Styela clava: one gene and its partners. Each later gene encodes a partner of the first gene's protein in a complex. Links are inferred from orthologs where the notes say so. Each region holds a gene or a part of one and is shown on either strand. Other genes may lie near its edges.

The links.
Region 2: meckelin-like (region 1) and transmembrane protein 237-like share a complex: the UniProt entries of both Homo sapiens proteins name them as parts of the tectonic-like complex. The link is inferred for Styela clava from reciprocal best matches to the Homo sapiens genes TMEM67 and TMEM237.
Region 3: meckelin-like (region 1) and coiled-coil and C2 domain-containing protein 2A-like share a complex: the UniProt entries of both Homo sapiens proteins name them as parts of the tectonic-like complex. The link is inferred for Styela clava from reciprocal best matches to the Homo sapiens genes TMEM67 and CC2D2A.
Region 4: meckelin-like (region 1) and transmembrane protein 231-like share a complex: the UniProt entries of both Homo sapiens proteins name them as parts of the tectonic-like complex. The link is inferred for Styela clava from reciprocal best matches to the Homo sapiens genes TMEM67 and TMEM231.

The regions. Positions count from the first base shown.
Region 1 is NC_135263.1:15,826,780-15,835,214, forward strand, and holds the start of meckelin-like, read left to right. Parts: upstream 1-5,057; 5' UTR 5,058-5,924; coding exon 5,925-6,108; intron 6,109-6,509; coding exon 6,510-6,589; intron 6,590-6,830; coding exon 6,831-6,927; intron 6,928-7,923; coding exon 7,924-8,008; intron 8,009-8,435. UniProt on the Homo sapiens protein: Required for ciliary structure and function. Part of the tectonic-like complex which is required for tissue-specific ciliogenesis and may regulate ciliary membrane composition.
Region 2 is NC_135253.1:6,409,607-6,418,245, forward strand, and holds the start of transmembrane protein 237-like, read right to left. Parts: upstream 3,301-8,639; 5' UTR 2,323-3,300; coding exon 2,039-2,322; intron 1,524-2,038; coding exon 1,333-1,523; intron 1,099-1,332; coding exon 941-1,098; intron 468-940; coding exon 325-467; intron 1-324. UniProt on the Homo sapiens protein: Component of the transition zone in primary cilia. Required for ciliogenesis.
Region 3 is NC_135259.1:2,066,783-2,075,272, reverse strand, and holds the start of coiled-coil and C2 domain-containing protein 2A-like, read right to left. Parts: upstream 3,477-8,490; 5' UTR 3,436-3,476; coding exon 3,089-3,435; intron 2,677-3,088; coding exon 2,564-2,676; intron 2,207-2,563; coding exon 2,134-2,206; intron 1,949-2,133; coding exon 1,835-1,948; intron 1,633-1,834; coding exon 1,445-1,632; intron 452-1,444; coding exon 316-451; intron 1-315. UniProt on the Homo sapiens protein: Component of the tectonic-like complex, a complex localized at the transition zone of primary cilia and acting as a barrier that prevents diffusion of transmembrane proteins between the cilia and plasma membranes.
Region 4 is NC_135264.1:10,087,621-10,095,689, reverse strand, and holds transmembrane protein 231-like, read left to right. Parts: upstream 1-4,569; 5' UTR 4,570-4,729; intron 4,730-5,530; 5' UTR 5,531-5,537; coding exon 5,538-6,473; 3' UTR 6,474-7,206; downstream 7,207-8,069. UniProt on the Homo sapiens protein: Transmembrane component of the tectonic-like complex, a complex localized at the transition zone of primary cilia and acting as a barrier that prevents diffusion of transmembrane proteins between the cilia and plasma membranes.

The DNA of each region.
Region 1 (8,435 bases):
TTTGACAGTCAAACACCATCTTGCTGGTGGTGATGTTTGGCCAAATCTTCTTGACGACGAAGTTATGAGACGGTTGAGATGTTATCGGCCGTTCCATTGATCACTTTTAGTCAAGCTTGATCATGGCCAATATGCCGAGTAAGCAATACCTTGAACCTAAATGCTCATATTAGACATCATCGACATAAAAATATGTAAAAAGTAATGACAGGCAAAGTACAATAAGCACCCTAAAATTGTACCCAATGTCAAACAGTCAGTTATTTTATATCTGCCATTACAAAATAACAAGTGCACAATTGGCACAAAAACGTAGCCTACCACTTCTTTTAGCATCACCTTTTAATCTAAAACCTTACTTAAGGTTTTGTTTGCTCTCCTAATTCTATTATCAGTTTTATTCATTTTGTTTTTATCTGATATTTTATCGTCTATTATGCTGATTAGGGAGTCGAAATGAGCTTTTTTTATACCAGCAGTCCATGTCGGGCGTGGAATTAGTTAACCAGTTTTTCGTTTCAGGTGCATGAATTTTATGGCGCGAGAAAGCCGTACCAAACCGGCGGTTACACGAAAGACCCTACGGCGGTGAAGGGTACAGCAATCCTCTCGTACATAATTACCTCCTACGGGATTCTACCCCACGCAAGGTAATCAGGGGTGCGATTACAGAGCGTATTCCTAACTCTTTGTACGATACACCACACATGAGCAAATCGAGAGAGAGAGATTTATTTTTAATCAACCAGAAAAAATAGCAACAATAAAATACAATAACATATGCAAAGTTTTTCGGTATTGACTAGGAGGAGCGATACGACCGTACGGTCATCAGAGTCAACTCCCCCCATATTCACTATTTTAAATATGTATATAAGACTTATTAGGTTAGTGTATGGTGTAAATGGGAATAATTGTTGTAAAGTTGCCTGGTTTTCTACAAGATATATATATATATATATATATATTCAGGTTTGACTATATAATAGGGTGACCATATTTTCAATCCCTAAAAGGAGGACATATCGTTCGGTAGAACCACATCTCATCTGTGCCCGAGATATACATTATATATCTACTGAATTCTCTAGGATTAAAAATAGAAGTGACAATGGACGATGTGACGACAGTGAGTTGATGCATTTTTGTCTTTTTTAAAAAAACATCTGCGAAATAATCGATTTATTTTTCCTTAGCCCACAAGTATTTGGAAGTTCCTCTAATCCTCGTCAACATTGCTGCGTTATTTTGTGCAATATCGTAAAACTGGCTGCAAGAAATGTCGTTAAAATTGTAAACTAAAGTGAGTATGCTAGCAACGGACTCAAATAGAAAGTTTTCGCGTTCTTTCGACCACTGTGGTTGCATTAAAGAGAAAATGCGCGAAAACGTTGGCGTTATGCGAAATAATGCTGAAGTAATATTGTGCGATCTTTATCAGTTCGCTGTAAAAGTCCTGGTGCTGCAGGATTTGAAATATTCTGTCCATCTTTCATGTGCCATGAGTTTACAGTAAGAAACTGAATTGGAATGAAGTTGCTTTTCTACGAACTTGCATAAAGTTTGGAATTGGTCGAATAACTTGGCTTCATCAATCGAAACATTTTTTGCAAGCAGATACTCAACGCACGGTTCAACAATTCTCATCCAGTCAAAGCATTTGAATTCCTCAAACGAAGCTGTCCATTTTTCGAGGTATTGTACGCAAGACTCGTACAATAAAGCCACATCTGAGAGAAATACATCACATTCACGGCCTACGCAATTCAGATTTAATTTGGATTTGTATGAACGTGTGTTTTTTTCTCTCTTCAATCGTAGATTTAACAGTGCTAAGACAAGCTTTGATTTCAATAATTGAGGATTTTGAATGTTCAATATGCCTAATTTGGCCATTAAACACAGCAACAAACGATTGCAAATGTTTTAAATACAACTCACTCACAGGATTTTCATAAAATCTTTTTAGAGCAACAGGTGGCTTTTCAATAGACCGGAAATATGACTGCAGGGCAGGGTGCACCTGAATCATTCTAGATAAACTTGAATAAAGTGATAGCCACCTGGTCACGCAGTGGGGAAGTAGTTTTTTATACTGTGTATCCACAAAGTTACCATAATCCTTCAGTTGTTCTGTGCGTACAGTGTATATGCTGGAATATTGGTACGTTTTGTAAATAATATTTTCCACATCAATGCTCGTCTGATTGGTTTCATGGTGTAAACAGTTATTCAGAACATGTGCAGGGCATCCTACCCCAATCAAATTTGGCAGGTTGATTTGCAATCGAGAAAATACGTTATTGCCCTTTCTAAAAGCCAATCGGCCGAAGTTAGTATTACAGTTATCGGCAGTAAATGAAACACATTTCTTAAACAGATTCATTTTGGTCGAAGTTTCTTTAATATCATTCGCAATTGTTGAAGATTTCTCATTCGTGGTACTTTTAACTTCAAGCAACTTAGACTGCAACCCACCATTTTCCCAGTCATGATATTGTACAACTATCGCGAAAAGTTTTGTAGCGTTATGATTACTGCCGTCTGTCGCTACTCCGAGATACAAAATATCATGTTGTTGATTAGTATTTAAGGCATGTTGAACAGTCATCGGGGCTAGAATATTATTCACAATAGCTTCAACTTTTGTCCGACCACAAAAATATTTTTTTGAAATATTTGAATCTGGAAAAATCTTCTTCATTAGATTTGACGTACAATCGTTAGATCTGAAACTCTGGTGATGTTTCACACAGTGAAACGCCATTATAGCTTCGGCGACAGCGACATTTCCTTCTATTTGAGTCCCAGGCGCACAAAAGTAGTCGGTCACCTTGGCTGATGATGTCTCTCCTCTAACAGATGTTTTATGCTTGGAACTCTCAACGTGCAACTGTAAGCTGAGTTTGCCCTTATTCGCCACAGAAACGAAAGTACCGTAGCCACAAGAAATGCACTCCGCTTCGCTGTCAGTTCGACCTTTTCTAAAGCATGGGTACTTTTGCTTTAGTTCCTGAGAGAAAAAGGTTTTCCTTTTCTGCATAATTTACTGGGTTTACAAGCGCAAGGATCTGCCACAATCGAAACTTCACGGAATTGCGATATACAAAGTGAAGTGACGTAAAACAGAATTGCACAATAAATGCGATTTTTACGTCATAAACGATTGTGCAGATCAATTATGCATTTAACCTCTAGGCAGGCCTGCACAACATACGGCCCGCTAGATACTTCTGTGCGGCCCGCGGGTAATTTGGGAACACGCCACTTCTCAGGTCTAACAGCCTAAGCCGGCATTGTTATGCAAGCGCGCCGCTACTCCGATCGTACTCGAAATCGTGAGATTTATGTTTTGCACTAGTTTCAATAAATATCGAACGTTGTGTGAAATTGGTGTGCCCTCCGCGACCCTTGAAATTCGTCGCTCGATCTCTCGCCCCCTAGTTTGGGAAACCCTGATTTAGATATCTCAGTATTCAAACTGAATCACGCTTAAAACAATATCGATATACAATCACACACCTATTAGTGCATATTAGCAACCTATTAATAACTCGTTATTTTTTACTAGCAGGTTATGAAACTGAAGTTTCTTTTTGAATCAAATTTAGAACTTAAAAAAGAAATTCTCGCACAAAAGATATTGCTATTTACTGTAAAATTTCAAATAAATTGAAGCAGATTTTGTAAAAACAATGTAATTTAACAGTCAAAAAAGTACAACAGAGGAAGATCTATCTATTGCTACTAAACGGATTATTTGTCCAGCCTACAATGGAAATATCCAATAATGGTGGATATGACTAAATAAATTGTCATATATATATTTGGGACGATTTTACAAAACGGAACCTGAGTGAAATATTTTCCTGCAGTCAGTTTATACTGCAACACGCAATACCTAATTCTAATAAAAAAGAAATATTGAAAATGAAGGGTGGGTTTTCAAGGTAGATGAACCATTAAATACATATTTGCCATCTCATATGCAAAAATACTGTACCTTGTTTTTACTTAAGAAAATAAGATTCTTCATATTTTTAAGCTCCCCAGTAATGAAAGTGTTTCATTAAATTTAACTGTTTCACAATATTATTTTGATTTGTAGTTCATCTTGTGAAATATGTATGTGGCAAAGTTTGCGGCCCGCCGGGCCTTCAGATTTATGCTTCTGGCCCTCGTGGGAATTTGAGTTGTGCAGGCTTGCTCTAGAGTAACCCCGCATGTTAACATAACGCAATGCATTGCTTGTCAGTTGTCATATCCTGGTCATATCTAATGATGATTACAAGTCTATATTTACTTTTTTTAACACATCAAAAATTTTTGGTTATATATATCATAAGGAATTTTAAAATAGTTAATCCCGTCCAAAAGGAGGACATTTTGACGTTTCAGAGCGTCCTCGGAGGACGGAAAAATTTAAGCGGACAAATCCTCCAAAAGGAGGACGTATGGTCACCCTACTATATAATTGTTTGAGCTTTGTACCCAAATCGGTACCGTGTTAGCCTATATGATACAGATCTAGGGTTAAAATCCACACAAGGTCCATAGAGTTTTTTTTTTATTACAGAAGACTATCTAGCAATAAATTATGAGGAAGCAAACAACAAACGCGAAAAAAGGTGTACAACAAAGACAATTTGGAAAAACCATATACAAAATACAAAGCGAGAAGTAAATGAACTATTTTCACAGAAGTGAATCAGATAGCATTGTATTTCCCCGACAATTCGAGTGACAACGTCTGAAAACGGCATTTAGTCAGGCCACATCCTATTAACTGCAAAAGAAAATACTTATATCGCACAATGGACATAGACTTGCTACCGGGCTGGCAGGCCACTCAGGCGCAGGACCTTGGTCATGTTCGTCAGAAATGTTTTGTTGCGATATATTTATACTCATTACTAGGTGTCGCTAATGGGAAACCTCCTAATTATCGCGCCTCTCCACATTCCTTTAATTAAATCTGTTGTTGTTCTATTAATGGCTTTTTACTTTTAGGTTAATTTCATACATTGAATTGTTACTTCGCTATTTTGCAGCTAAAATTCAGTAGGCCTATCAAGTATTCGCTAAATGAATGGATGAAGATACCGCTATTAAAAAGAATCTACGATACCTGGAAATGTTATTTAGTATCTAATGTGTATTTGCACAATCAAATTCAGGTGCAACTTTGCTTGAATGCGTTTATTATATTAACCATTTTTATACCCAACCTGTATTATGTAGCCTACGTAATTCTACTTCTAGCAGAATTTTTCTTTGCCCAAAAAGTTGATGCCTAATCGAGCGTGGCAAGGCGTTACGTTATATCAAGCGGTTCAGCGAACACAACAACATTGTACTTTCAGATCTTTGGTGTATCAACAGAGGGACGAATAATACATTAAGGTGGAAGAGTTTACCCGGAAAGTATTATTTTCCACTGTCAACTCTTTGATATATATTTGCTCTGTTTATTTAAACAGAGCCATGGTTGGTTAGGACGATTAGGCTGATTCTAATATCGGTTTTTATTTAACTTATTTCGTTTTATTTATCACCTTATTATTTAGTTATAATTTTTTATTTTATTCGTTTTTTTATCAATTATTTTATCATTCGGTAAAAATAAAATGAGCTCGTGATGAACTTCTACTTGAATAAAATGAAATTTTTTTTTAACATGGACCACCACTTGTGATTAATTCAGTAATTGAAGTTTAGCTTCACAATATCAATCTGTAAATCTTCAGATTTTTGAATGGTCAGTGAGCCTGAGAGATATCTCTGGAAGAAAGGTTCGTAATGTTCAACAAGACTTTTCAATTACCGTATCTGTATATTCTAGAAAATAAACTATTACTATGTTTAACTGATCATTGTTTTTTTTATGAACCAGTGACAATTGTTAATACAACATTTCGAAGATAATGTTCAGTTTTTTCATCTATTCGATTTTTCTTCTGTATATCCAATTTCAATGTGTGAGATGTCAACAGTTTGGATTCATTTCCGTGCAACCATCAGCTTGCTCTACTGAACAATATTACAATTTTGGAATTTTACAATGTGGAAATTGCCAAGATCCAGTGGGGATGCTGCCAGATTCTTCAGGTGAATGCGAATAATCTTAAAAAGTATTTTCTTAGTTTTTTGCATATCTCAATATCTCGGCGGTGTTGCGCTTTGTGCTAAGCATTAAGAATATGCTTGCCACCGCACCCCTGTTTACCCTGTGTGGGTTCATAGGTACGAATCCTGTGGGGTAAAATTGCGATAGGACTGCTGGACTTCACGCTGTCATAGGGCGCTTCAAGTAACCGCTCGGTTACGTCTTTCTCTACCATCAAATTCATGCATCTGAAAAAATTAATTGGCTAACTAACCCCATACCAGGCATGGACTAGTAGCCGAATGGGAGTCCGTAGTTTCCCATGTGATATAGCTGCTTATTAACTTTCCTTTCCTATGGAATAAATATGTAAATCTTATATTATTGATTATATATTTTTCAGGTTACTCATGCACATGCAGACCAGGTTATAAAGCAGACATCAACAATGTCAGAGTTCTGTCTTGTCAAGCATGTTCAAGCGTAAGTTATTTTTTGTCTTCCTACTAATATGTCTATTCAAATATTTTTTTCACATTTACAGTTTTTTCTAGCAAGTTATATCAATACTAGATTTTTTAACTTTCATTTATTGATTTCATATAATGATAAATCATACTCCATCCAAAATTTTCGAGTCATTTGTTTTGATTGTTTAATAGTTTTTCACCTGTTAGTTGTGAGTAATTGAACATGAAATAATCCTTAATAATGTTGTAAACAGGGAATAACAACTCCAGATGGATATTTCTGTTCATCATGCTCAAATGGAACGGATGTAAATGGACAATGTACATGTGCAGTGGATCAACAATTGATTAGTAAGAAAAATGATTTTTATTTATTTACATACAGTAGTACTTGGCACATATTGAATAAAACAAAAATCTTTAGCTTAAGTTTTCATATTGTTTTTTTTCATAACTTTTCTGTAAAATGATTTTCATGTACTTTGGCCAAATCATACATATATGGGGTTTGCGGAATATTTTGAAATGACTCACACTTCACTGCATACGATAATTTCTTCAAGTAGGGCTGATTGCTATAAGAAAGTATTTCAAAGAATTGATAATGAACTAATAGAGTTTTGAATTCAGTTTGACATTGTAATAGGCAGTTTGACACCACAAGCTAACGAACGAACTAAACGACACTTTGTGTATTTCTGTTGTTATCATTGATATTCATTTATGTAATATGTTTATATATGAGCTACTTTATATGCTTCATTTCAATATTTGAGAATCTTTTAGGCTTATTGTGGCTTTTAAAATTGGTCATACATAGCGACACCCCTGTTTTGGTATTGCTGGAAAACCATTTTTCTCAAAAGTACTGTCATACTGTCAGTATATTATATTCAGGACAAACCAGAAAGCCCCATTCAATATTTTTACAATTATTTTTCTTGTGAAACACCTGATTTCATGTGAAACACCTGACTGATTTGATTAAGAAGTATCACACCTATTAGATTACCAAATTAGGTTTCATAATAGGCTCATTGTATCAAGTTTATCAGATCTCAGAAATCAAAGCATGATTCTGAAATATTCAATTAATATCAAATTACTTCTGTGTCAATTATTTAAGATTGTCCATCCATCCATGATCTTGGTGTATGTACAAATAGATAGTGCCATGAGTGTGCAATCACTAGTATTGAGTTATGCTTCTTTCATACAAATTTCATATAATAAACACACATATCATATTAACCACGAGTTTTGTTAATATGTTCTTACTTAAATGCTTATTATAAATCAGTTTCAATTTAGTAAAATGAGAAAAGTAAAATATAAAATTGTTTTCAGTACCTTCATATTCTTCAGTAGTAGATTCTGTTGGAACTTGTTCATCTTGTTCTTCAACTTCTTTGGTGAACACTGGAAATTTGAAGTGAGTTAAAAATAAATGAAATATTGGTTTTAATTGTAAAATATATATTCAGTAATTGTTGCTTTTACTTTCTTTTATTTCAATTCAATCATTACTTTCGTAAATTCTCTTACACTTACTTTGTTCTCTCATTTCTTCTATGATAAATAGATATGAATGAATATAAAGGTCAGCATTGGCAATGGATTTTATTGAGAGTTTTCCTTTTTTTGAATTCTTTTGAGCGTGTCATAATTTTTTTAATTTTTTTGAGATGGTTCAAAACATGTTGAAAAGTTTTTAAGATATACAGCCCTGCAAAAAATTGGTTAGGTATCGTTCAAAAGTTTTGTCAACAACATCTAAGCGAGATCTCGTGACCCTCAGGCCTCAACCCTTGCAGCTTCTTCTATTTAGAGGAAATAGTTGGCACATTATTCTAAGTGTT
Region 2 (8,639 bases), on another chromosome or scaffold:
AATGATTACATAGTAATTCAGTGATGAATATCTTACACCATCAGTCCTATAAACTTCACACTATGGTAATAAAGAAAAGCACACCGTGCTAAGCATTAGGAATATACTCGCCTCCGCAGGGTGGTTCACGTAACTGCTGGTCGGTAACGGCTTACTCCATCATCAAGTCCATGCTTCCAGAAACAAATAACTGGCTAACCAATCCCATGCCCTGGTAACCGGACGAAAGGCCACGGTCCGCCATATGATTGAGCCGCGTTATCGGCTTCCCTCTCCCCAGGATAAATATGTAAATCCTATCCTATTTTAATACACAATACTTACCCTTGATACTGAGTTAGAAGATTCTGCTCCCCTAAACCATTCAAGGAATAGCTGATGACAACCTGCCATATTGAGAATCCAGCTAGTGCACCATGCAGTAATAATGTAATGAACATAAATGCTTTCTCATTTTGCTCGGCAATCTGGAAATGAATTTATGATGTTTATCAGTGCTTTTAAGGCTTCTTTCTAATTAGCTAATTTGTGACCAAAGTAGTCCAGATACAATGATTATTTCTGATTGGAAAATATACTGAATAGAATTAGAAAAGCAAACCAAGTGGGTCATATTATGATGTCATAATTTCTTAACTATTAAACACCCCCCCATTGGGTTTCTAGGCAAGCCACTGAAAAAAATCTAAACTTTAAGTGGTTCAGACTAAAAACTTCTACTCCACAAGATCAGCGGTGGCAGGATAGGCTCGGCAGTGTGGCGCATCGTGCTAAGCGTTCAGAATACGCTCGCCACCGCACCTCTGATTATCCTACGTGGGTTCGAATCCCATGCAGTGACAGTTATGTGCGAGAAGACTGCTGGACTACTCGCCGCCATAGGGCGGTTCACGTAACCGCCCCGAGGTATATATGTAAATCCTATCCTATCAATCCTCACATTGGACGGTTTCATTGTTGCCTCTCCATATGTCATTTGTGCTTCGCTTCCCATACTTTTCATAAAACGGTCATTCAACCAATCTTGATTGTGTGTTGCAAATCCATTGGTAGTTTGTACATAGACTTTGTCAGTTGCCGCACTTCCACCTGATCCAGCTATTCAAAAAATCAGCATTTTTAACACTGGAAAAATTACCAAGGACGGTTTCCACTGGCTTTAACAGGTTTTTATACAAGATTTTGTAAGTTCAAATACCACAATAATAGAGTAAATGCTTGTGTAATAAACTAATCTTGTTTGCGCAGAAAAAATGAGGTTTTCTTAAAATCTGTTTACATTTGATTGAACTAGATGAATATCTATGACAGTTATGAAAGATATATACTCACCGGCAACACCAGGAAGGTTTGTCATTACTATAGCATCTTCAATTTTCTCAACATTTACTACATCTTCATCTTGTAGCAATGCTGAAACTGTATTTCCAGTGGATACTTCTCCTGTTCCACCAGGACTCTGATTAGCACCAGCTGGTTTTCTTCTTCTTTTTGTCCTGGGCTTTGCTGTGGAAGAAGGTCCACTAAACATAAGAGAAATCATAATTTTTAAACGAGGTGTCCTTTCACTTCATAGAACTAAATTTACTATTGGATGAGAATACTGGTGGTGAGAACATGACTACGTAGGCATCACAGGTTATAGATCCTTGGCTCAAACCTCACTGAGAATGTAATAAGTTGTATAGAGTAGACAGTGCCAAACAGAAAGTGTACTTCAGCTTGCAGATTAGACCCAGAACTCTAATACGTCTGTACGTGGAGTACACATACTCGTAGCTCACTAGACAAGACTGTATTATTCAAATACAACAGTTTGACATGTTACAGCGCTCAAAATAAACAGACCCTAGTGAAAGATTTCTGTTCATCTGAAAACCATTATTCTGTCAGAGGTCTTAAACATCTTGTATACAAATGACCATTGTGGACAGCATTAATTTTGCCTTTAATTAATGTGATCTAAAGGTATAAAACATTTTGTTAAGAAAGAAAATTCCTAATCTTATCTATTAGTCTGTACATGATTCACACTAACCTTCCTTCACTCATTTGAGTTTCATCAGCTACACTGGCCGCTGCTGAAGATGGTTGTAAAGATCCTGTTTCGATTCCATCCTGTTGTCTTGGACTTCTTCGGCGTCTCGTTTTCGTTACAGGTCGTTTCGAACCTGTACCGGGTGAATTGTCTGCTCCGCTGGTAGGTGGTCTGGTTTTCTTTCGAGGAGTCGGCACTTGTGATCCATCACCAACATGTGAAGCACCAGCGGTTAGTGGAGGCAATGCTCGAGGAGGAAGCGAACGGGGTTCACTGAGTGACATTATTAAAAATCCAAGTTTTAAAAAATTCTACTTGTAAATTGGTCAAAATCTTCTACATTCAGATGACTGGAAAATAAGGGGTTTTAAATCCTCCAGAAAATATTTATGTGAGGAGTACGCACTTTTCCTTCATTTAAAAAGTAAAGAATGATTAGTTACGGGTATTTAATTTCTTGTGGTTGAATCGAATGAAGAGATAATTATTTGAATAACAAAAAATCAAGTTAACTAATTTGACAATATACCGTACTGTATTCTTCTATTGGACACAAAGTCAAGCTGACAATTTATTTTTGGGAAGTTGAAAATTTCAATATTTCTATACACTGATATAAAATAGGCTTCCAATTATTCCCAAATGCAGCGAGTACCTTTTCTTGATTCATTGTAAACTTATATGTTAATTAACAGGCACATGATATTTCTTATGTTTTAAACTTAATATAGAATAATATATCAGAATATAACGTTAGAATTTTTCGTAGCTTCCCAGAATTCTCCAATTTAATTTGTGTGTATGTATTCTGGAGTTTTAAAAATAATCTATAAACTGCGGCGGTTCCTCAACTATAATTTAGTAATAACTGGCTTTAATTAGGGAATGAGGTATAACTTCATTGATTGTATATAGATATACATTGAAATAGATTGTTTATTTATTTCTGGCCTAATCCTTGTAAGTTTGTGTTTTTGTAATCTTTTTGCGTGTGTGCTGGTGAGCAGGCACATAATATTTCTCATGTTTTAAAGTTCTGTTCGCTCTCCAGAGGTCTCCATTTCCAAGCTATGCTGCTATGTGTAACATGGAGTTTTCGAAATGAACTATCTGTCTTTGTGTTCTAAGTTACACTTATAGTTATAACTTATACCATCCATCTTTGCATACAAAATTTACATGTCAAATTAAATTTTCCAAAAGAAAACTGTTAATACATTAAATCAATTGGTTAAAAGAATTTGAAAAATCTGACAACACGAAGCGTCCCGTCGCCGAGCACCAACTCATGCATAAATAAAGCTGAGACCTGACCTGGGATTCTATTTGATGTTTTTTTAACCTTTGACCTATCCTATCCTTGACCCAACGAACAACATTTTTGCTCGACTCTTTTTGCCTTTCTGCTACCTACTAAAACGACGTTTCACAACTAAGAACTCAATGATGAAACCCAGTTTACAGACTCAATTTAATGCCCGAAACCGCTGTTGAATGACCGTCACAGTGCAATGAGAATATATATCTCATTACTCAGTGCAATGACATTAAACAACATGATGGGCAACTCTGACGTCACTCCATAAGACTACAGGCAAAACATTGTATTTCATGATACGCTCCAATGCACATATTTCTCGTCGCCTTTCGCGTCCGTTTTCCGCTCGCTCTTGCTACTCGGCGTCTTTTTTACGTATAGTACCTGCCTTTTTGCGCCTGTAACGAAACAAAATAATCTCTATATCTAAGAAGTTTTGCTTACTTGGAAAGCTGGAATAACAGGCAAGCTGTAAATAGCAATTCTGGACATCATAGACGTTTTTTTTTATCAGAGAAGATTACAAACGCGATAGCGGAAAGATTAGTGTGGAACATTTTGCAGATAATGACAAAGTTCAAAGTTAGTAATTTTAATGTTTGCGCTTAATCATTGAAATTTCATACAAAACTGTGCTGCGATACAATTCCATAACACAAAGTTTGCACCTATCGAACTTGCATTTGTAGGTGAATTTATTAGACATATTACATATTCAGTTAATCGTAGGTAACATTGCTGGTACATAATGCATCGTAGATAGGTTTGTTTAAATTTAGGAATTTAGCTCATAGCCCACTAATTAATATTATCTTCTATGCAGGAGGTTGCAGGGCTGAATTCAACTTGCAGCCTTACCGATCACCTGACGATGCTCATTTAGTTTGGCTCGAGCAAGTCTTCTTGAAATGCTTGTGTGGATGGAAACTACCTATATTTTTTGCCTTCCTCCGATTTTAGACAAATTTATTCTGAGGGATTTCGCATATAATTCTCACTGATTGTTGGCTGTTTATAATTCCTATTGATTGTGAATTCTGATTATAACAATGAGTTGAAAATTTTTTTACCTAATTTACTGGCACCTTTTTCTTGTCAATACTCCAAGCTGAGGTAATAAACATGACAATACATTTATGTCATCTGGAAGCAAAATATGCACACTAATTAATAGTTTGGCACATTGAGATAATACATCATGACAGAAAATACAAATTAAAGATATGTATGACCATCACATGATAATTAAAATTAAAAAAAATTAATAGGGGCTGTGGAGTATGGAAAGTTCAAGACAAAGAAAAGAACAAATGTTCATAGCTCATGAACTCTCAATTTTGCCTCCATTGCTTTGTGAAGGCCAGTATATTTCGAGTGGCTGAATTGGTTTACCTTTATGATAGCAACGATTTTGTATTTAATATAGCGAGATTATTTCAATTTAATTGAAGTGATATAATTTCCCAAAGCAATGCTTGAATCGTCTATCAGTGGTGTCAAACTCATGGGTTTTCGAGAGCCGCATTGCATTTTGAAAATTGTAAAAAGAGCCGCAAACAGTTTTTGATAATGTATACTTAAAAGATATTTTTAAGATAGTGTTAGTTTGTGACATATTTTGTGATGCAACTAAACAGTTGGATTAAGTTTTATTATTTTCTTCAATTTCAAATGCAATTACATATTAATATTTGCATTCCACTATTATTGCAACATTTGCAAGTTACAGTATTTATTATAAAAAATCGTAAAATTCTATGTACAACCATCAAAATCATTTTTGAACAAGCTTTGAATAAGGAAAGAATAATACATACACTAAAAATAACTTAATCTAAATATATGAACCTAAAATTAACAAAAATACTACAGTATAAACTCAATGTTTTAATAATTACATTTGTCCTGGCGTTTGGCATCTTTTTTGTGTCACCAGCATACTAAGGCCAGTCTGAAATGATTTTATAGTACCAACTCTAACTAACGAGGCCACATGATCATGGATTTATCTGGATCTTTACGAATGTTTAATTAATTCCAGTAATGCAAAAAAGTTACTTTTATCATTTCATGTATAGATCAGTAAAAAAACAAATGACAGATTTTTTCGACAAGACATTTCGCACTACATTGCGTGGCATAGGATTGCTTGAATTGTTATTGATATTGATTTTTAGTAACTAAGTCGTTGTATAATTATATTAATATACAAACACATGGAAATTTTCTGTTCGAAGTTGGTCTTCGAATTTGTCATATTGACTGCTTAGCTTATTGTGTTTTTTGATTGTATTGATGGAAATATGACAAATTAAACAATGTGCTTCAGAATTTTGTGAAGAGCAGAAATGTTACAACTCCCATTTTCTTCGAAAATGCCACCTTTTTCATGTACTTTGCGTTTAATTTAATTACTCAAGTGTTTTATTCAAGTATTCTTTTGCTAGCTTGATGTGTATTCTTGATTGGGTCAAAATGTGGACAAAAAAAAATCAATATTCCAAAACTACTTTCAGTAAATTGTTTTCTGTGTGAATAATCAATTTCACTTTAGAAGGTTTGAAAAATCTATTACATTTAGATAAAAATAAAAAAACTTCCAAAATACTATTACAATTATTGTTAAACGTTCGAGGGCCGCACTGGAAGTTCTCTGGGGCCGCGAGTTTGAGATCCCTGGTCTAGATTGAAGTTGTTCAAAAAATATATGATAGTATTTTATCATGAATGATGATTATACCCCTTCCGGAATTTCTTCTATAGTACTACCAAAAGTTGATGAACCAAATATAACACAGGTGCAGTGAGGTACCCGTAATCCTCATTTCCAAAGCTGTTTTAAGTATGTCTGGCGTGTTTTGTGCCTTTTTACAAATAAGACCGCTTATGCAATCTTACGCTTTGGAATTTTTAGTTATTTTCCTCAAGCCCTGCAGGATGTGGGGGCCATACACAACTCTACCGGAGGGTCAAATGTCTTTGCATGCCTCCATAGGTTGTTTTTCTATTGCAATTTTCTATTTTCAAATCCATTATATTTCTTGGAATCACACTGTCACTGATATGTCGCCAGACTTCTGATATCTCCCCGTCTGCTATAGTTGTCCTGTGAATAAATAATAGGAATTTGAAATTAGACGAATAGTTGAAAGTTTTGCTTTATGTCGGCTTAATTTCTTGATTGATATACTTACTATTTCTGCTATTGCCTCTTGTGCTGCAAGAGTCTCACAATGCTTAGACAGGTTTGTCCACAACTTTCACATCTGAAGAAAGAGAGGAGATTTATTAATTTTCGTTAGGAATAAATAAAGCAGTCTATATGATTCAGAATGGAAAAGCTAATAAATCCAATATCTTATGTTTTATTTAAAAAATATTTTACTGAATTTGGTATATAAACCAACTAATAAAAGGGTTTAGTCAGAAAATTACAAGCATTCGTGGCTCCAAATACTTGAGAAATCAGACTATACAACATAGACCGGTATGAGTGAAATGTTAGGTGAACTTGTTAACACTTTGATTCAATACGCAAATAAAAGTGAATGCGTAATAGTATGTTACAATGAGCAGCAATCAACAATGAGTATATATCCTCACTGATTAAAAAATCTAACTGGAGGTGCATGAACTATTTGAAACCATAAGGGGTAAGTAAATATGTAATTTCGGCAAATGGGCAACTACGTAGCGTACTGAATTAATAACTTCGTAGTATTTGACAAAGGCTGGCTTTCCCACATGTACTTAACAGTGCGATGCCCGGGTGTGATATACAACAATAGTATTCACCTTACCTTTTACCGATCTCTTTTTACCCCAACTTTCAAAAATATCATTAAAATCGACAACAACTGTCAAAACAGGCACGAACACCATTCGTGCTACGCCTTGAAAGCAGCACACATCCGCTCGTTTTCGTCTCGTCAAGTATGTGCATTGGAGCGTGCTATCGAATACGATCTTCGGACAAAAATGCCGGAGTTGCGCATCATGTTGTTTAATGTCATTGCTCAGTGCAAATCAACGACTGGTGAAAATCTAAATTGAACGGTTTGACCAAAGATGCATTGTCTCTGGTTTGACCAACCCCGTGTAACTTCCGATATTTGTCCCGATGTTGGATTCGCCGTCACGCCCGACTAGGCGCAGACAGATTATTGCTTCCAAAATCATCGTGCGTTTTTCTGTGTTCTGACGGCGTTATCTCACGACAAGATTAAGTGAGTGGCTTTATAAATATTCAAATTAATTGTGCATCAACTTTAATAAAGATTTTATTATAGAATGCAGATTACAAAACAAAATAGAAGAGCAATCATTTGAGAGGGAAGGCCCTAGAACCGGTCCTAGCACTTAAAAGCATGTTGACAAATGACAGTAAGATCTGAAGATTTCAAATTCGCTTCAAGGCTCCAATGAGTAGATGTAGTAGAGAATCACTTTGTGCTACGATTGTTAAGCATAAAAAGAGTAAGTTGTGAATGTCCTAGGTAGCCAATACAGAAATGATTTGTCGAGGAATGTAAATTTTGATAAGAAATCAAGATATTATGTAGTAACCTAATATGTATATTTTCAGGAAGAAAGGAATCATAAAAAAGTTGTAGTGTGAGGATTTATGCCGTGTAGCAGTAAGCAAGGATATGAATTGACTAATAGGTAATGATTTATCTCAAAAATCAGAATCAACTTACACCATACAGCCATATCAACGAAAATTTTTGATTGAGGAACTAAAACTTTCGGCAAAAAAGATATCTGGTGAACGATACCACCCTGAAATTGTAAGGTCGGTATGAAAACATAAATTGAACACACATATTTTAACTTCAAATAATGAGTGTTTTATGATGGATTTTTCCCCATTGATTCTGTCATTGTATACAAAGTCACCAGCTGCATATGACAACATAAGAGGTGCTTTACGTTTGCCATGTGAATCCATTTTGCTTAATTTCAGGCTGGTACTAATACCCTTATTCACATAAATTGGATACCCACCATTGCTATTATCTAAACATGGCTTCAACATATATATATTTATAATTTTAAATATGCCAAAAAAATTTTGCATTATTTTGTCGAGTGTTTTTAAATTATTTATTTGAAATAAATAGCAATTAACTATTTTGCTACTGCAAAATCCACCACATTCGTTGAATGCATGAATATTTCTCCTGGAATCGTTACATTTTATTATTTCCAGTTTGTTTTATGAGGTATTCACATTTTTGTTTCAAATAACACTTTGTCAAAGTGGCTGTTATACTCAAATAT
Region 3 (8,490 bases), on another chromosome or scaffold:
GAATCAGTCATCATTCAAAACACATTCGGAAATACCTATTTCTTTAGAATATAAATTATTTGATGCTCATTGGAGAATTTGCAAATGAAAGCAGTAGGCTAATGTGTGAATGGCAATATAAACAGTGTTTTGAAATGGTTTTCTAGTTTTTACCTCGCCAAAACTTAAAAGAACACTATTTTTTTCTGACCATCTTTGCAAAGATTGCAAACACAAAAATTGATAGATCTCAAACAATCTTATAACAAATACAAACAATCTTAAATATTATATGCATTTTGGACATCCCTGTGTAAATGCAACTTATATATATACCTGTAACTTATATATTCTGCTGACATTATATTGAAAAGTTTCCAATCTAATTCTTCAGGAATAATCTCTGAAAGTAATTTCTTTTTTTCATCATCAGTTTCCTCTACTTCTTCTGTGGGTTGCTCATCTTGTGCATCTGTAAAAATCATGATAGTTAGCATTATGCTTCATTATGTTCTAACAATGCAATTGTAATCGATTGAAAATGCACTGACAAATGATAGAATATGGATCAATTTTTTCATACATGTATATATATATATATAGAGATAAAAAAGTATGAGGCGGTCTATATGTAGTGAAAAAGCAGGAATAAAATTTTTACGTGCTATTGTACGTTTCAAAGAGCCAATTGAGACTTCTTGCCAGGGCCTAACTCGATCCTAAAAATACCCCTAAAAAATAAAAATCATACTTTTTTGTGTAAACTAATAATTTTTTTTACAACAAGATTTTTGTATGACATTTCAAAATACAAATTTTATATCAGCTAGATCCAATTTCCATAAGTTCAATTAGTGCGACGTAACGCATGAATCCACCCAATTTAGCAGAATTTTCGAAATTTGTCAAGTATTGATGTGTAAATAGAAATTTGAATTCACTGTTAAGTCTCAGCTTTGCAATTCAAGACATAAATTTTAATTCCAGATTTGTAACATCTAAGAGTGGTATAGAGGTTGGGGTTTCATTGAAACTTCCATTAGGGTTGCTGCGCACATGTTTGGTGAGTTTACCATTTCTTGTGAATAACTTTGACGTCATCACGTCAAGAAATGGAAATTTAATGAATGGAATCTGCTGATAGCAAGCCATGAAACTTTTAAATAAACAAGGCAACAAACACACTATAATATCACCCAAACTAAATTAATTTCAGCCAATGTACATGAGTTATAATTTCAAGTGTTTCATTGCTTGATTAAATTTTAATATTAAAGATTTTCCAGAAGATCTTCTAAAAATCTGATATGTCATCGCTTTTCTGGTCGTTTGATAAATTTTCAATGAAGCTTATTTCATTACCGACAACTGCTGCATTAATGATAATAACATCTGAGCAACAACTGTAATTCTAGTTAATATTTATGTAGAAAATAAATATAGAAACAAAGAAATAAAAAATAACCTGCTGCAGTTTCAGGTTGATCTTCTACTACAGGAGCCTGTTCTATTTCTTCTTCAGCAACCTGCTCAGCATGTTCTTCTGTTGTTGCAACATCAGGAGATTCAACTTCAGGTTGCACCGTTACTTCTTCAAATTGTTTCGTGAAAAAATCATAACAATCAATATCGCTAGGTTGACCGATTTGTTTCCTTGAAAAAAAATAAATAATTGGTTCACAATTGAGCATGAAGAAAAGATGAGACCTTGACTGAACACCTTGAAAAAAAAAATAGATAATCGGTTCACAATTGAGCATGAAGAAAAGATGAGATACTGAGCACTTTACATTTTATATCCAAGAGATAGCAGAATTATCATGACTAAAAGTAAGGTAAAACATTGGTAACATACCTAGCTTTCTGTAGAACCTTCTTCCATTGCAATTTCGCCAAAACTCTGGTTTCCAATTCTCTCTCCTTTTCTAAATCAGGTCGACTGAGAGTACGCAATGGATCAACATCAAATCTGTAAAAAAATTTAAAATCTTTTCATATTCATATATGACAAATCGAAAGTTGTTTATTTGAGCTTCGGTATCCATGCGAAAATAAGATTTCCAAGATATCCATACGTGTTGCGTAAATTATAACCATAACTTATTTTGAAAATGAACAGTCTTTGCAATTTCATATCTAAATTCAACAACTGACCTGGTGCTCGAGTCTCTTAGCCTTTCTTTTAATCTTTGAGTTCTTTTTCTCTCTTCGCCCATTTGAGAAAACTCTGAAATATATTTTCATTGATAAAAAAGACAATACAATAGTGAATAAATCATTATATTTGTCAATGTTTTATCAAAAAAAAATTGTTGTTTCATTTTTCCCGTGTGATTGGTAACATCCCAAGTGTTTTTATCATTATTATTATGCCCTAAAAAGGTAATCTGGTGTTTATTATTGGTCACAAAAAAATTATAATGTAATATTCGAAAATTTAAATTACCTTTTTCACTGTTAGATAAATGTACAATTTTAATTTGACTTTTTGGTGTACTCAAAGGAGCTTTAGAGCTTTAAAGGATGCAAATAACCAAATATTAATGCTAAAGTAAATAAACCTTATGTTACTCATGCGAAATACCTCGCTTTTGTTTAGCCGCCTGAAGCTTGGCTTGCAATCTATCACGCAAGGACATTCCAGCAGATCGAGTGCCAAATGTGCTGTTGAATGTGCTTTCCAAATCGGATTGGGGACTGCAAAAAATAATTAGAAAAATTATCAATATTGGCATTACACAACATATTCATTGAATTAAATTACCGGTATTAGATAAAACTAAGCCATAATATGTGCTTTCCAATTCGGATTGGAGACTGCAAAAAATAATTAGAAAAATTATCAATATTGGCATTACACAACATATTCATGGAATTAAATTACCGGTATTAGATACAACTAAGCAATAATATGTGCTTTCCAATTCGGATTGGGGACTGCAAAAAATAATTAGGAAAAAATATTAATATTGGCATTACCCATATATTCATTGAATTAAATTATTAGATATTCCTAAGCAATAATATAGTCGGGGTCATGCCCTTCAATGATAATTTGAAATTATTGTCAAGTCATATCTATTCAGTACACTTTACGGAGGTAAGTTACCGAGACAATTCCTGAGACTGGCCAGGTGACATAGCTGGTGTGATAGACCTTGGTGATTCTTGTAATCTTGAAGTAGGAAGTCGAACATCAGATTGAGGACGAAGCATTTCGGAAGTTTGGAGTCTTTTACGTGTAGCATCATGACGAGATTCTAGTTTCTCAATCAAACGACTAGTCGATGCTGTCTCCTCATCTCCAATAGTAGGAATATCAGCATCACCATCACTGTCATCATTATTGATTGTAGTAACATCAAGTGCTGTTGAATCAGTTGTTTGCATCGTTATATTCATTGCTTTTCGTCTTTCTTGCAACTTTTTTTGTAAAGTATCCGAAGTAGAATCCATGTTTCAACTTTTCAAAAATTACAGATGATAAGAGACACTACATAAAAATATTATCACAAATTTAAAATAAACATTCAATAGGATGTTCAACAGACCTCTCAGTATCACTACCCTATAGTTTGACTACGAAGTACGAATAGGCGATATTACCGGCTTTTCTCTCTCTGGGGATAAATATGTAATTCATATCCTATCCTACATACTGACATTAAGACATAACTTGGATATAGTTCAGAACTGTAGAACAGTGTTTCCAGGTTTCTTTACTCTGGGCCTGGGGGATGCATATTCATAAATTTAAAGGGATGTCTGTAACACATGGTCTATAGATGGAGCTTTATGAAGCGTATCTTGTTGCTATATGCCAGTCTGTCGAATACGATACTGAAATATGATAGATAAACACAATGACAATTTATTATCAAATACAGAAATATGAAATGCTAAATTGACACCACCAACACTTGAACTTTTATGACAGTTTGATTATTTGCTGTTTAAGTTATATCTAATACATATTGACATCTCAAGCCTGAGTAATATTGAATGGCAGCAGGAGTCTAAGTCCACCCAGCAAATTAATTGTTGGAAAGAGAATAGGTTAAAGTGGTACGCGGTGACAGTATGAACACGAAGTAGTCTAACTCTAGTGTTTAGAGTTGGGGTCGGCAAACTTTTTCATGCCGAAGGGCAAAATTACCGACTACCAGTGCCGGTAGTCTGATTAAGCTATTTATGCCCATCCTGATTAAATCATAATCAGGCCGTGTAGATTTTAGAGAAAAAATAAATGGAGTATCCTTCTAACGACTTCTTCCGTCTCCAAGTACTGAAAATATCAAACTGATTGTTCAAACACGATTTTACATATCGCTGTGTTATGGACAACACAATTTGGTTAAATACTGGTAACTATTTTTGCAATTTGGAGGGTCTGGGGTTGGAAAAGACAGCTGACAAGTCTGAAAGTGGAAAAGCTGGAAAGTGAATACAACAGAGTTGTGAAGAAATGTACGACTTTTTGCCACAGATATTCCACTCATAACTACACAAGCCAGTTTAATTCTGTAATTTGATTTTTTAACTCTGTTGAACTTATATTTGGCCACTTCATGAATGGTATTAATCAGCACTTCACCATATCTCAGGATGTCCTGTTCACTTTATAACAAAGTTAAGGACTAAAGAAGTTTCACTATGAATAGTATAGTATGCTGGGCATTGCTGGCAGGGAATGGAAATTTTAAAGACACCCACAAATTTTCCAATTGCAAGTGTGCTTTCTGTTTAACATGGTTGTTTGTATTGTGTTACTTTTGATAAATATGCCTTGAATTGTTCATCTTATTTTAATGGCAAAATTATCTATGTTGTATTTTTTATGAGCTTTGGCAATATCTATTTTTTCCTCTTCTGCTGCCAATAAGTGGTTATGTACCGCCTAAGACATCAGCATAATTTGAATTTTCTACTGTAACATCAATGTTTCACTGCTGCCCATGATATTTCTTTGTGTGTGTAATTGAGATTGCTTTTATTGTTTTAATAAATGATTCTACACCTCCATGCAGCCATGTTGCCTGCCAATATTGACAGTGTTTGGATATTGTTTTGGTAAATAGTTCCAATGTATATAGCTTTTTTGTGTATTTTTTGTGTTACTAGTCACTAGGTATTTTCTTCTAACATTGGCACGCATTGTTTGGTATTTGTATTCACAGCTATTTCAAGCTATTGTCACTTTCTATTCCCACTTTTATTCCCACTATTCAAAACTTCATGCTGTTTTTCAACCATGTATTTATTTATCTGTCTTGCACATTTGATAGGTTTTCGGTGATTTTTTTCATTTCTGACAGCAAGCGATGTCTCCCATAGATTTTGACTTGTATATTTCTATGCTATATAGGAATCTCAGACCCAAAATTTACAGAATTCGAGATCAGCTTTATTTATATATATGTACTGCAAGGCTAATCCTGGTGATTTCTCAGCTACCATAATCGTATACGAACATTTGAAACATCTATCAGAGACGGAGGAGGTCGTTGGGATTCTATTACACTTAATTTTATCTACCTGAATTTTGCTGTCTTATTTCAAGCGCAACACTTATTTTACTCCATGTAAATTATCCACTGATTCAAGCAATTATTTGGCTTTTATCATTTTAAATTGAGTTGTAAGCACTGCCCGATTTTGAATCGTGTCCAAATTTTTTGTTTAACGTTACTCGTATTATTCCTATTTTATTTTTGGTGGGTGGGCACGTACTTGTACGTTTTTTAACTTTATTTTAAGTTATGCTCTCTTTTAGGTATCTCTGTATTTGTTGTCTGTTTACTTTTTTGTATTGTTCCGTTTTAGTCAGAGACCCGAAATACAATGATTGATTGATTGAGTACAGGAGTATGAAGACAAAATGGTGGATGAGCTGACGGATTTTATTTAAACTATACTTATTTTTGTTGTTGAAAACATACTTATAACTGCCGGTACCGGTAGCTATAAGCCTATAACTGACAAAACTACAAAACAAGTCAATGTCCAGTTGAATGTGAACAAATTTGCCAGAAAAGTTTGAATAAAAAAGGTGGGTCTATCTGCAGATCTGCGCACTACTAAACTTTCTCATTGTTTCATCGGCGTATACCGGCCTTCTTTTAAGTTTATATCATTCTTTACTACGGAGTATCTAAATACAGTATTGAACTATGGAGAAGCAAGCCTGTGCTATAACATTTTAAAATTTGTTTCCAATGTTTACAATTATATTTGTATTAACTGCCCGCTAGGTGTCACTTTCGTTGCTAGGCTACAAAATCAAAACCGTGTCGTCTGCTAACCCAAAATGTCAGGATAAAAATAAATAAATGCATAAAAAATCAGGTACCTGAATGTCAGCAGGGAAATGTTAAAATAATTGTTGGCACATCGTGCGCCGTCTAAGTGATAGGAATTACGGTACCTGATGAGAATATACATCAGCGGTCCCCAAAGTGGGCAAAAACGTCCTCTTGTGGGCGTTTGCTATAACTTGGGAGGCGCTGATGGCGATTTAGGCGAGTGGGGGGCGCTGGCTGTCAAACTGGGCGATTGGGGGGCACTGACATCAATACGGGAACTCACAAAAAGTGTGATATTTTATGTCATTTACTCCTATGTTTTGGTTCAAATTAGTTTGTTTGTGATCCCGGTGTTGGAAATTTCACGCTTAACGTAGAATAGGTATTATGATTTTTTTAAATCTGTATTGTTGTTTCATAATAATACCAGTCTAGCGCATACGGCATATGCTTCTTTCACCATGCACTTAACGTTTCGTTGTACTGTATTGAATTATAGCTTCATTTTACTATCGGGTTCTATGGTGCTTTCAAGCGGTAGTGTAAGTATCCTACAACACCCATGTTCTAATTCTGGTTTTGTTAAGAGCAACATGTGAGAGTTGGGCATCCGATTGAACTGACGTACGCCAGATAATACCATCTCCATGTTGCGACTTAACTGGTTAATTTTTATTTCTTGCGTCATTGAATAATAAGGCTACATACCTAATACTTAAATCGACAAACGGCAAACATCTAGCCTTTTGTTATATCATGTTGTGTCTGACACTGTTTAATGTCGGTTTATCATTTGTATTTCGTAAGTTCAAACTATCAAATACAGTGACTTAAGCAGCACATTTAACTGATTTATATTAAAAACAGTATTATACAGCGTAGTCCCCAAAAAACGGAACCATCAATTACTTCTACGAAAATTGAGTGAATTATTTAATTTTGTCTACATTTGAACTTCTGTTTACGTATGTTTGTACCCAAAGGTGTCGGAAAATCTAGGACGTTTTTCACAAAAATTATGTTGTTTCTAGAATATGTTCCAAATGGTTTCCTCGGCATTGAAGAAAGAATTGCATTTATTTTGCAACATTGTCAATCACTTTTCTTTGGGTATTTTTCTATTTTATTTCTGCAATCGTTTGAGGATTGTCTTGATACAAATTGTCTTTCGAACACCCTACATATCAAAATCTGAGAGGTTTCAGTCCGATAATTGAGGTGTCCACTGGATGTCATTGCTGACTTTTCTCTCAGGAAAACAAGCGTCTGATTTGATATATGGGGGGTCGCCTCGTCATGCTTGAACCCCTGCTGGTTGCCTCTTTCAATATCTCAAGTAATGTGCAGATTTTTCCTGGCACAACCACGTAATCTTCTGTAATCACCGTTTGAACTCTTTCATTTCCATGTCCTAACAGCAGAAGGTGCGCTTCATCGTAAAATAGGGTTGCCAACCGTCCCGGGATGGCCGGGACAGTCCCGGAATTGACGTCAGGCGTCCCGTGTCCCGGGCTGGACTACTGTTGTCTCGGAATTTACTGGCAACCAAGGCGTGCTGGAATATAAGGCCATGTAAGCGTGTCACACTACTATTTTAGAACGCCACTGATATCAGTGGATTTAGAATTGATTACTTTATTTTTGTAAAGAGTACAAGTTTGAACTTAAACATTTGACAGGAACTTCACTTGTGGTAAACAATCATTAAATTACTATCGTTACGGGTGTTATAGGAGTTCTTCATTATCTTTTAAACAATTTATAATCTCATGTCATCTTCACAAACCTGCAAACCGAGTGTGTAGAGCAAAGTGATTCTGATGTAGAATGTAATGTGGAGGATACATTGGAACAAACTCCGCCCAAAAAGAAAGGCAAACTTTCAAAACGATATTGTGTTTTCCGTTCAGAATGGTTACAAGAAGGCATGTCATGGCTATCTAAAGTTGATGATTTTACTGCACACTCTGCCGACAGTACTTTTCTGTTAAATATGATGGTAAATACGCCGTTTCTAGTCATGCTAAAACACAAAAGGACTATTATTTTGCAGAAAGAAAACAATACTTTGTCTGCGTTTTTCGTTAAGAAAGACAGCAAAGTAGAACAGCTTGTGATTTTAGCTGAACTGGTTTCAACTTACCATGGCGTTATTCATCATCATAGCTTTGCCAGTCAAGATTGTGGCAATAAACTACTCAAAAAACTG
Region 4 (8,069 bases), on another chromosome or scaffold:
CGAACCCACGCAGAGCAATTAGAGGTGCGGTGGCGAGCGTATTCCTAACGCTTAGCCCGTTGAGCCACACCGCCGCGCCAGCAGTACACCGCCGGTACTTATCCACACATTGGAAATTTCGGTAAATATCAACCCCAACATCATTATTAGTATGCAAAACATTTTGATTATGAACAAATAATAAATTTAAAATAAATAAAAGAAAGAAAGTGCTGGATACACCTTAATGCTGTAATGTGGCGCGGCGGTGTGGCTCAACGGGCTAAGCGTTAGGAATACGCTCGCCACCGCACCTCTAATTACTCTGCGTGGGTTCGCAGGTTCGAATCCCATGCAGGGATGGTTATGTGCGAGAGGATTGCTGGACTCCTCGCCGTCGTTGGGTGGTTCACGTAACCGCTGGTCGGTTACGGCTTCCTCCACCACCAAGTCCATGCTTCCGAAAACAAACAATACAGTAAAACTAATCCCATACCCGACTTGGAATGGTAACCGGACGAGAGGCCGTGGTTCGCCATATGGATAAGCCGTCTTGTCGGCTTTCCTCTCCCCCGGGATAAATATGTAAATCCTATCCTATCCTATCCTATGTGCTGAACAGACCACGAAACGTCGATTTTCGAAATCGCTGCCAGCATGATGCATTGGCAAAGCTGTTTGGTGGTGTATGGAGTTTCTTCCGGTTGGCCACAGACCGTAAAAACAATATTGCGCAAATCAGAGAAATTTTATTCGTCCCTCTCATTACATTGCCATGCCGTTTTTATTAATTGAATAAGCGAATTATAAAAAATTACGCATTGCATTCAAAAAACGATGTTACCACATATCCATCAAATCTAAATTTGCCTCTCACAAAGGTAACATCAAGGCAGTATGGAAAACAATTAATGAACTTATTGGTAAAAATAAAACAGGTTCTTGTCCTTTGATTGGACTCGATTGCAGTAATACACAAATTGCAAATAAATTTAATGAACACTTTTCCCAAGTGGCACAAACCCTGCTCGACTGTATGCCACAACCAGCTGGCTGTGACAAAAATTACATTTCATATCTTGGAAAGCAAGAATCCTCATCCATGTTTTTAAGGCCAACTACATCATTAGAAATAAAAAATATTATACGCGAAATGAAGCCCAAGTCAAGTTTTGGAATTGACGGTATTCCATTCAAAGTATTGAAACACGTTCCAGAACATATCATTGACATCCTGACATATATATTTAATCTTTCACTATCTAGTGGGTTATTCATTGAAAGCTTCAAGACATCTAAAGTTCTTCCTCTATTTAAAAAGGGTAGTGTTTCAGATCTTGGAAATTATAGACCTATTAGTCTTTTACCATCATTTTCTAAGATTCTTGAGAAAATAATGTATAGTAGAATGTCAAACTTCTTTGAAACTAACAATGTTTTCCACTCTCATCAATTTGGTTTCCGCAAGCATCACTCCACTGCTATGGCTGCTAATGTTTTGGTACACAAACTGACCAAGGCCTTTGAAAGCAAACAACATGCAATTGGAATATTTCTTGATATTTCAAAAGCTTTCGACACCATTGACCATTCCATCCTTTTAAGTAAGCTCTATCACTATGGAATTAGAGGCGTCCCATTCAATTGGATCAGGAGCTACCTGCAAGACAGGAAACAAATTGTGCAATATGACAACTCATTCTCTACAAATATTTGTGTCATGAAGCACGGAGTTCCACAAGGATCTTTACTTGGCCCATTATTTTTTCTAGCTTACATTAATGACATGTCCAGGTGTCTGAAATCCTCTGAGTCGATCATGTTTGCTGATGACACTGACTTGATTCTTCATGGGAAAAACCTTGAAGATCTACTCACAGTTGCAAACCAAGAACTAACCAACATTCATAGCTAGATGTTGGTTAACAAATTATCTCTTAATGCTAACAAAACTAAATTTGTATTATTCCACCCAAGCAAGCATAAAAGTGTGAGTAGTTCAAAACCACTACTGCTCAATGACAATGAAATTGAAAGAGTGAAAGAAATAAAATTTCTAGGAGTTATCTTTGATGAAAATCTATCATGGAAATCACAAATGTTGCATGTTATTGGTGAAACAAAAAGGAACTTGGCAGTTGCTGCTAAAGTATCCCAGTGCGTTAATCAATCAGCTTTACTAGCAATGTTTCAATCTCTACTACTAAGTCATATCCGATATTGTAGCTCAGTCTGGCTCCATGGTAATAAAACACTTGTCTCGAAATTGCAAAGCATTTGTAATAATTTTTTAAGAATTGTCTTTAGGAAAAGTAAACGTGAAAGCGTAAATCATTTCTATAAATCGCTAAATATACTCAAGGTTGAAGACATAATGAAATTTGAAGTATTATCATTAGTTTATGATTTTCATGACAACTCATTGTCAAACTGCTTTGACGACATACTAACCAAAACCACCTCCAATCGAAGAAGTAATTCCAATTTATTTATACCGTTTATGAGTAAATCTGTGAGCCAGCATGCCCTATGCTATAATGGACCTAAGCTATGGAACTCTCTCCCCTTGAATTTGAAGTCATTAAAATCCAAAAAATCATTTCAGAAACAAGTTAAGTCGTACTTGGTATCCAAATATTAAAAGTTATTTTCCCATAACCACACTGATATATATACTCTTTCGTATGAAATTAGCTACAACGTTTTGATAGCTCGGACACAAAAAATATTGAACCTTCATGAATGACCATGATAGAAAGTTGGGACACTCTTCACTTGCACATACTTATTTTCATGAAAATATTAAACAGCTACAATATTGCTATTGCTCCTGCAGCTGCTGATTGTTGTTGAGCCGGCAGTTAATCTCTCTCCACCTGTTCTACATCTATTGTTGGTGTGTCGGGTTCTGTAGCATGCACAGCAAATTATTTTATTTATTTATTTTTCAAATGGCTGTTTACACTCTGACATCTGCATGCGCATGTTCCCTTTTTGCTTAACGTTGGATTTTTGACATTACACATGCATGATCTTTGTTTCTATATGGGTGGTGTGATACCTTATGAGGGTTGTAGACCGTATAGTTTAGCTCCTGTACCTATTATTGTAATTAGGCGACCAGTGGAGATATATTGGATTCTCCCCTTCATTTTAATTTGTTGTGGTATTCTATGATTTGTTTTGTGTGTATACAAAATTTTATCCTAGGTTGAGGTTCTGCTGTGAAGTTGATGTGAAGGCCAACATACGAATGGTCAGTGTGGTTTGAGAGTTTCTGCATGGTTTGCGAGGAATTCACCCTGTGTCCCAACCATATTTCAACTCTGGTCTTTGAACTAGCGTTTTATAGATAGATAACTAATAATCAATATCTACTCGAAATAATAATTAATTCTAAACAAAAGTGTAGGGTAGTGCTGTTTCCAAATATGTAACCCTTGAATATCCTACTCGCAGATTTGTTTTCTGTTTTTCAGGTCGTTCTGTGATGATCAATACAATGGCTAGTTTATTGAATATAAATGGTGTCTACAACAACAAAATTCGCAGGCTGATGTCTCATCCACGATAAACTTGAACCTATTACGCCATAATAATTAAATGAAGAAATGATCCTGTGAAATAACAATACTAATTCCTTTATTCCTAATTCCTTTATCCTTGCAGAAGTCAATATCTAAGAATGAAAAAAAAAACCTTATAACCTTAGCAACCAACATATTCCTATACCCTGTCTTTCTACCTTAATTAATTATAATTACTCATACTTATAAAGTTACTGATAGATTTAAATACTTATTGCAATCTGGACTACAATTTGGCAATAATAGGCTCTAGTTTGGGCAATGAAGTGGTCTAGCCCACCTCTTCATGCACCCAATTCTGGCAACTTTGGTTGGGCATTTTGGCATTTGACTCCATCTATAATCAGCTTGACAATATATTTTTTTATAAAAGTTTATCTTTACTGTTCACTCCCATTTATAAAATTGATCAATTTGGCAGTGGCAATCATGATAAATTTATTAATATGGTGTGGCAAGTAATTTTTATTTATTTATTTTTTATTAACTACCAGTATGTAATTTTTCATGTTCCCTTTACTTAATAACTTCTATATGGTTGTGTGTGTGGGTGCGTGTGAGCGTGTGTGAAATATTTCAATTATTTTAGGTGAGTGAACACGTACCACATCTTCTTGGCAAAACCTTCCATCTTATATACATTCTGTACGTTTTAAACCTTATCTAAGGTTTTGTTCGCTCTCCTGATTTCATAATCAGTTTTTATTTATTTATTTTTAGCATTCATTTTATTGTTTTGCTGATTATGGAGTCGAAATAAACTTATACTTATTAAACTTATTATCCGGTACTGTTCATCAACTGCTTGCCACTCTGCGTCAAACACATTACCAATTTTAAAATGTAAAACGATGTCATAAATTTGAATAATTTTTAAAATTTCATTTATGTGTTTTGAAATAATGTAGTTAAAAATCGTTCATTTATACCTGTGTTACCTAACATCTTTTTTACTTCTGACTCTCTACTAGCCCCACGTGATTAAAATTTCCCCGTTTTTGCATTTGTGTACATTATTTCAAGCGGTTAGCCAATTATAAAATAAAACTTTGTTGTGGGCTTTCTCAGTTTCTCTTAAATTTAGTAAAATGTTAGTGATATACGGTAGTTAAATTGACATCCAAGATTGGTACCTGACTTCTACATTACTCCTAAGATCACTGGTAAGTTTAAAATATGTTTAAGTGAAAGGTGATCTTGCCACCTTTGGCAATTCTGTCTGGGCAATTTGGATGAAGTAAACTTTAACAATAATTAGCTTGGCGATATTTTTGATAAATATCATTTTTTCTGTTTACTTGTGTTTATTGATTTGGTAGTCAATGATTGAGAAATTTAAAAAAAAAATCAGAAATCATTGATATACAGATATAGGTGTGGGAGTGGCAAATATATTCTTTTTATTTTTGCATAATATATAAATCAGAGTTTCCCAAATTTTTTGGGCTGCGGACCCCTATTCGAGAATCTTAATTTTGATGGATACGCGCTATGTATCAATTTCCATTTATAACACAAATGACATTAATGTGATGGATTAGATTGCTTTCCACTGCAAAATTTTTCGATTCTAGGTCTTGACCTGTATTTTGTCATCATATTTATAAGAGTTGAAAATGCTGCCTCACGCATGTAGGACGTTGCAAAAGGCAATAAAATTTTAATTGCCTTTTCTGACAGCAATGGATATTCGTCCGCAACGCTCAACCAAAAATTTGCAATTGCTCTTTGATTGAAATCAATCATTAAATATCTATCAGACTTTTTTCGTATCGTTTCGTACCCTGTGCAGTTGTCACGGACCCCCGGGGATCCCTGAACCCCCAGTTTACCTCCAGCGACACCATTCTGTTAAAATTCTGTATGTTTTAAACCTTACTTCCGTACATACAACTTTATTCGCTTTTCTGATTCTGTAATGATTTTTTTATTTTCATCAGCTATTTCTTGTTTATTTTTCTTAGATTCAAGATGGCCGTGTTTGAGATCTACTCATTACCTGCATTGTATCGATACAAGTCGAGTGTTTGGTCGAAAGCTTCCTTCTATGTCCTGGCAGTGTTAGTTTTAACTTTCATACCACCTCTGCTAATTGCATACAGAAGCCAAGGATTTTGGATTACAACAAACACATATCAAGAACAACCAGACGTCACTTATAAGAAACAACTTCTTATTGTGGCGGAACTTGCAAACCCTGGTGAATATTTTGCATGGAGCACGTATGCAAATTTTAACAATTTATTACAAGGCAATTTACGTGTTCCCCAGGTGTCTTCCTTTGAACTTGATAATAATCGTGATGGTCTTAACGATCAACTCTCGCTTAATATAAGTGTTCCCCTCACATCTTCAGAACAGGTTGTTAGTGTTCACCTTCTGGTTATCTTTGACTACAAGTTATACAGAATGTCAACATTTGAAATGGAGAGCATGGTTTACGTATCACAATCTTCGGCTTTAGGTGGGGCGGGGGCGAAGGTGACTGGTGATCTTGGATTGTATCAAAGAGTGCCGTTATATCACAGAGGCACTGACATTAGATTCAATACTCCTATCATTGATTCGACAAGCACTTTTGCTTCAAGCTATGATTTATTTACTATCCTAAAAAACTACTCCCAAAGAAACATTACCACAAGACTTGAAAACTCGTACAGTGTATGGTCGCCTGGGCGTTTGCCCACGGAGCCCTTTGTTTTACAACTTGATGTCTTTTATCCTACAGAAGTGATAACCTACCAGCCTGGATTTTGGGAATTAATCAAATGGGGATGGGTCCAATATGCCACCATTTTGTTGCTCTTTTTATGGGTGTTTAAACGAATTAATAGAACTGTATTTGAAGGAAATGTCTTCAATACAGTAGTGCAACAACCAAAAGTGAAGATAATAAAAGGACTTTAGCATGTAGAGTGGAATTTAGATTAAACTATTTAGATGATGTGAACATCTCTGTTTTACATGAATATCAAGTGACTGAAGCTTTAGTTGGATTCCTGACCCTTTTTTATATCAAACTTATTCATTACTCAACTCTCAAGCATACATGTCACACTCAGAACCGGATATTTGGTTTGAAATCAGAATGGTTCGCTCCAGTATAATCAAACTGTGGCTAACTTGGGAGTTGAGCTTCTTCAGAACTGGAGCCACTAATACTTCTGGTAGCTTGATTGGCCTCAGCTTCAAGAAATTTTCAAGGCTCCAGCTCAGTCCTGATGAAGTCGAAGATAGGTTTTGTCAAGACTTTCAAGCTAGTCAGAAACAATAAATTCCATTTGACAAATATTGTGGCCATATTGCTTCCTGACTTTTTAGTTTGAAAAGTAAAACTCAAACACCAGACACTGGAAGACTAATTTTTGACTATAAAAATTTTGGTGTCGGTTCTGATTTTAACTGATGAAATTCAGAAAAAAGGGTTTGGAAATCAACTCAAAACTATTATAACAAAGTATTCTTTCTACTGCAATAGAGTATCAGTATGGAATAATTTCATTTCTGGTTGTATTATTTTGATAAACCAATGGTTTTATTTTGATTAGCAATTGAACGTAATTTGATATCAAGGTATTTTATTTAGTGATACCTAATATTTGAATATGAATATATTTTTACAAAAAAAGTTGAATTCTTGCTTACGGTATATCTTTGTTACGCAAATGCAACGCAAGAGGGATGTTGAAACCTGGTCAGTGCGGGGACTGGCCATGTTTATGCACATTGTAACAATGAAAAAAAAACTTACAATCAAATATGAAAATTGAAGGGTGAATGAATCTCATGGAAACTGGCATTAGAAATTACCATTGAGTGGGTGTCACACAGTTGGGAACACCATGCCATTATCTTAGCTTGTGTAATTCAGGAATACTGTACAGCAAAATGTCTTTCTCTCGACTTAATTAAGGTAGTCCACCCATGGATTAATGACCAATCAACCTTTACATCCAACGAACCCGGTCATAGGAAATTATGCTTGGCGGTGTGGCGTATCGTGTAAGGCGTTAGGGATACGTTCGCCACGGCACCTCTGATTACCGTGCGTGGGTTTGCAGGTCCGAATCCTATGCGGGGATGGTAATGTGCGAGAGGATTGCCAGACTCTTCGCCGCCGTAGGGTAGTTCACGCAATCGCTGGCCATACCTGACTGACAACCGGAAGAGAGGACATGGTTCGCCATAAGATTGAGCAGTCTTATCGGCCTTCCTCTCCCCCAGGATAAATATGTAAATCCTATCCTACTTGAATATATAATCACTTTTGTATTCACCTCCGGTATATTGCAGTGGATGTAAATAGGAGAGCAATTTGGATGCTACCTAGCTGCATATCTTCACACCACTGCTTATATCTTCATCAAAAATTCAATCACCCTCCAAATCACAATAGTTGCTGTGGCAACTAACTAAAATCATTTTTTGACAATATATTTTTTGTGCATAAAAAGCTAATACGAATAGGTTGTTCTTATGTGTCCAACTACCCAGCCTGAACAA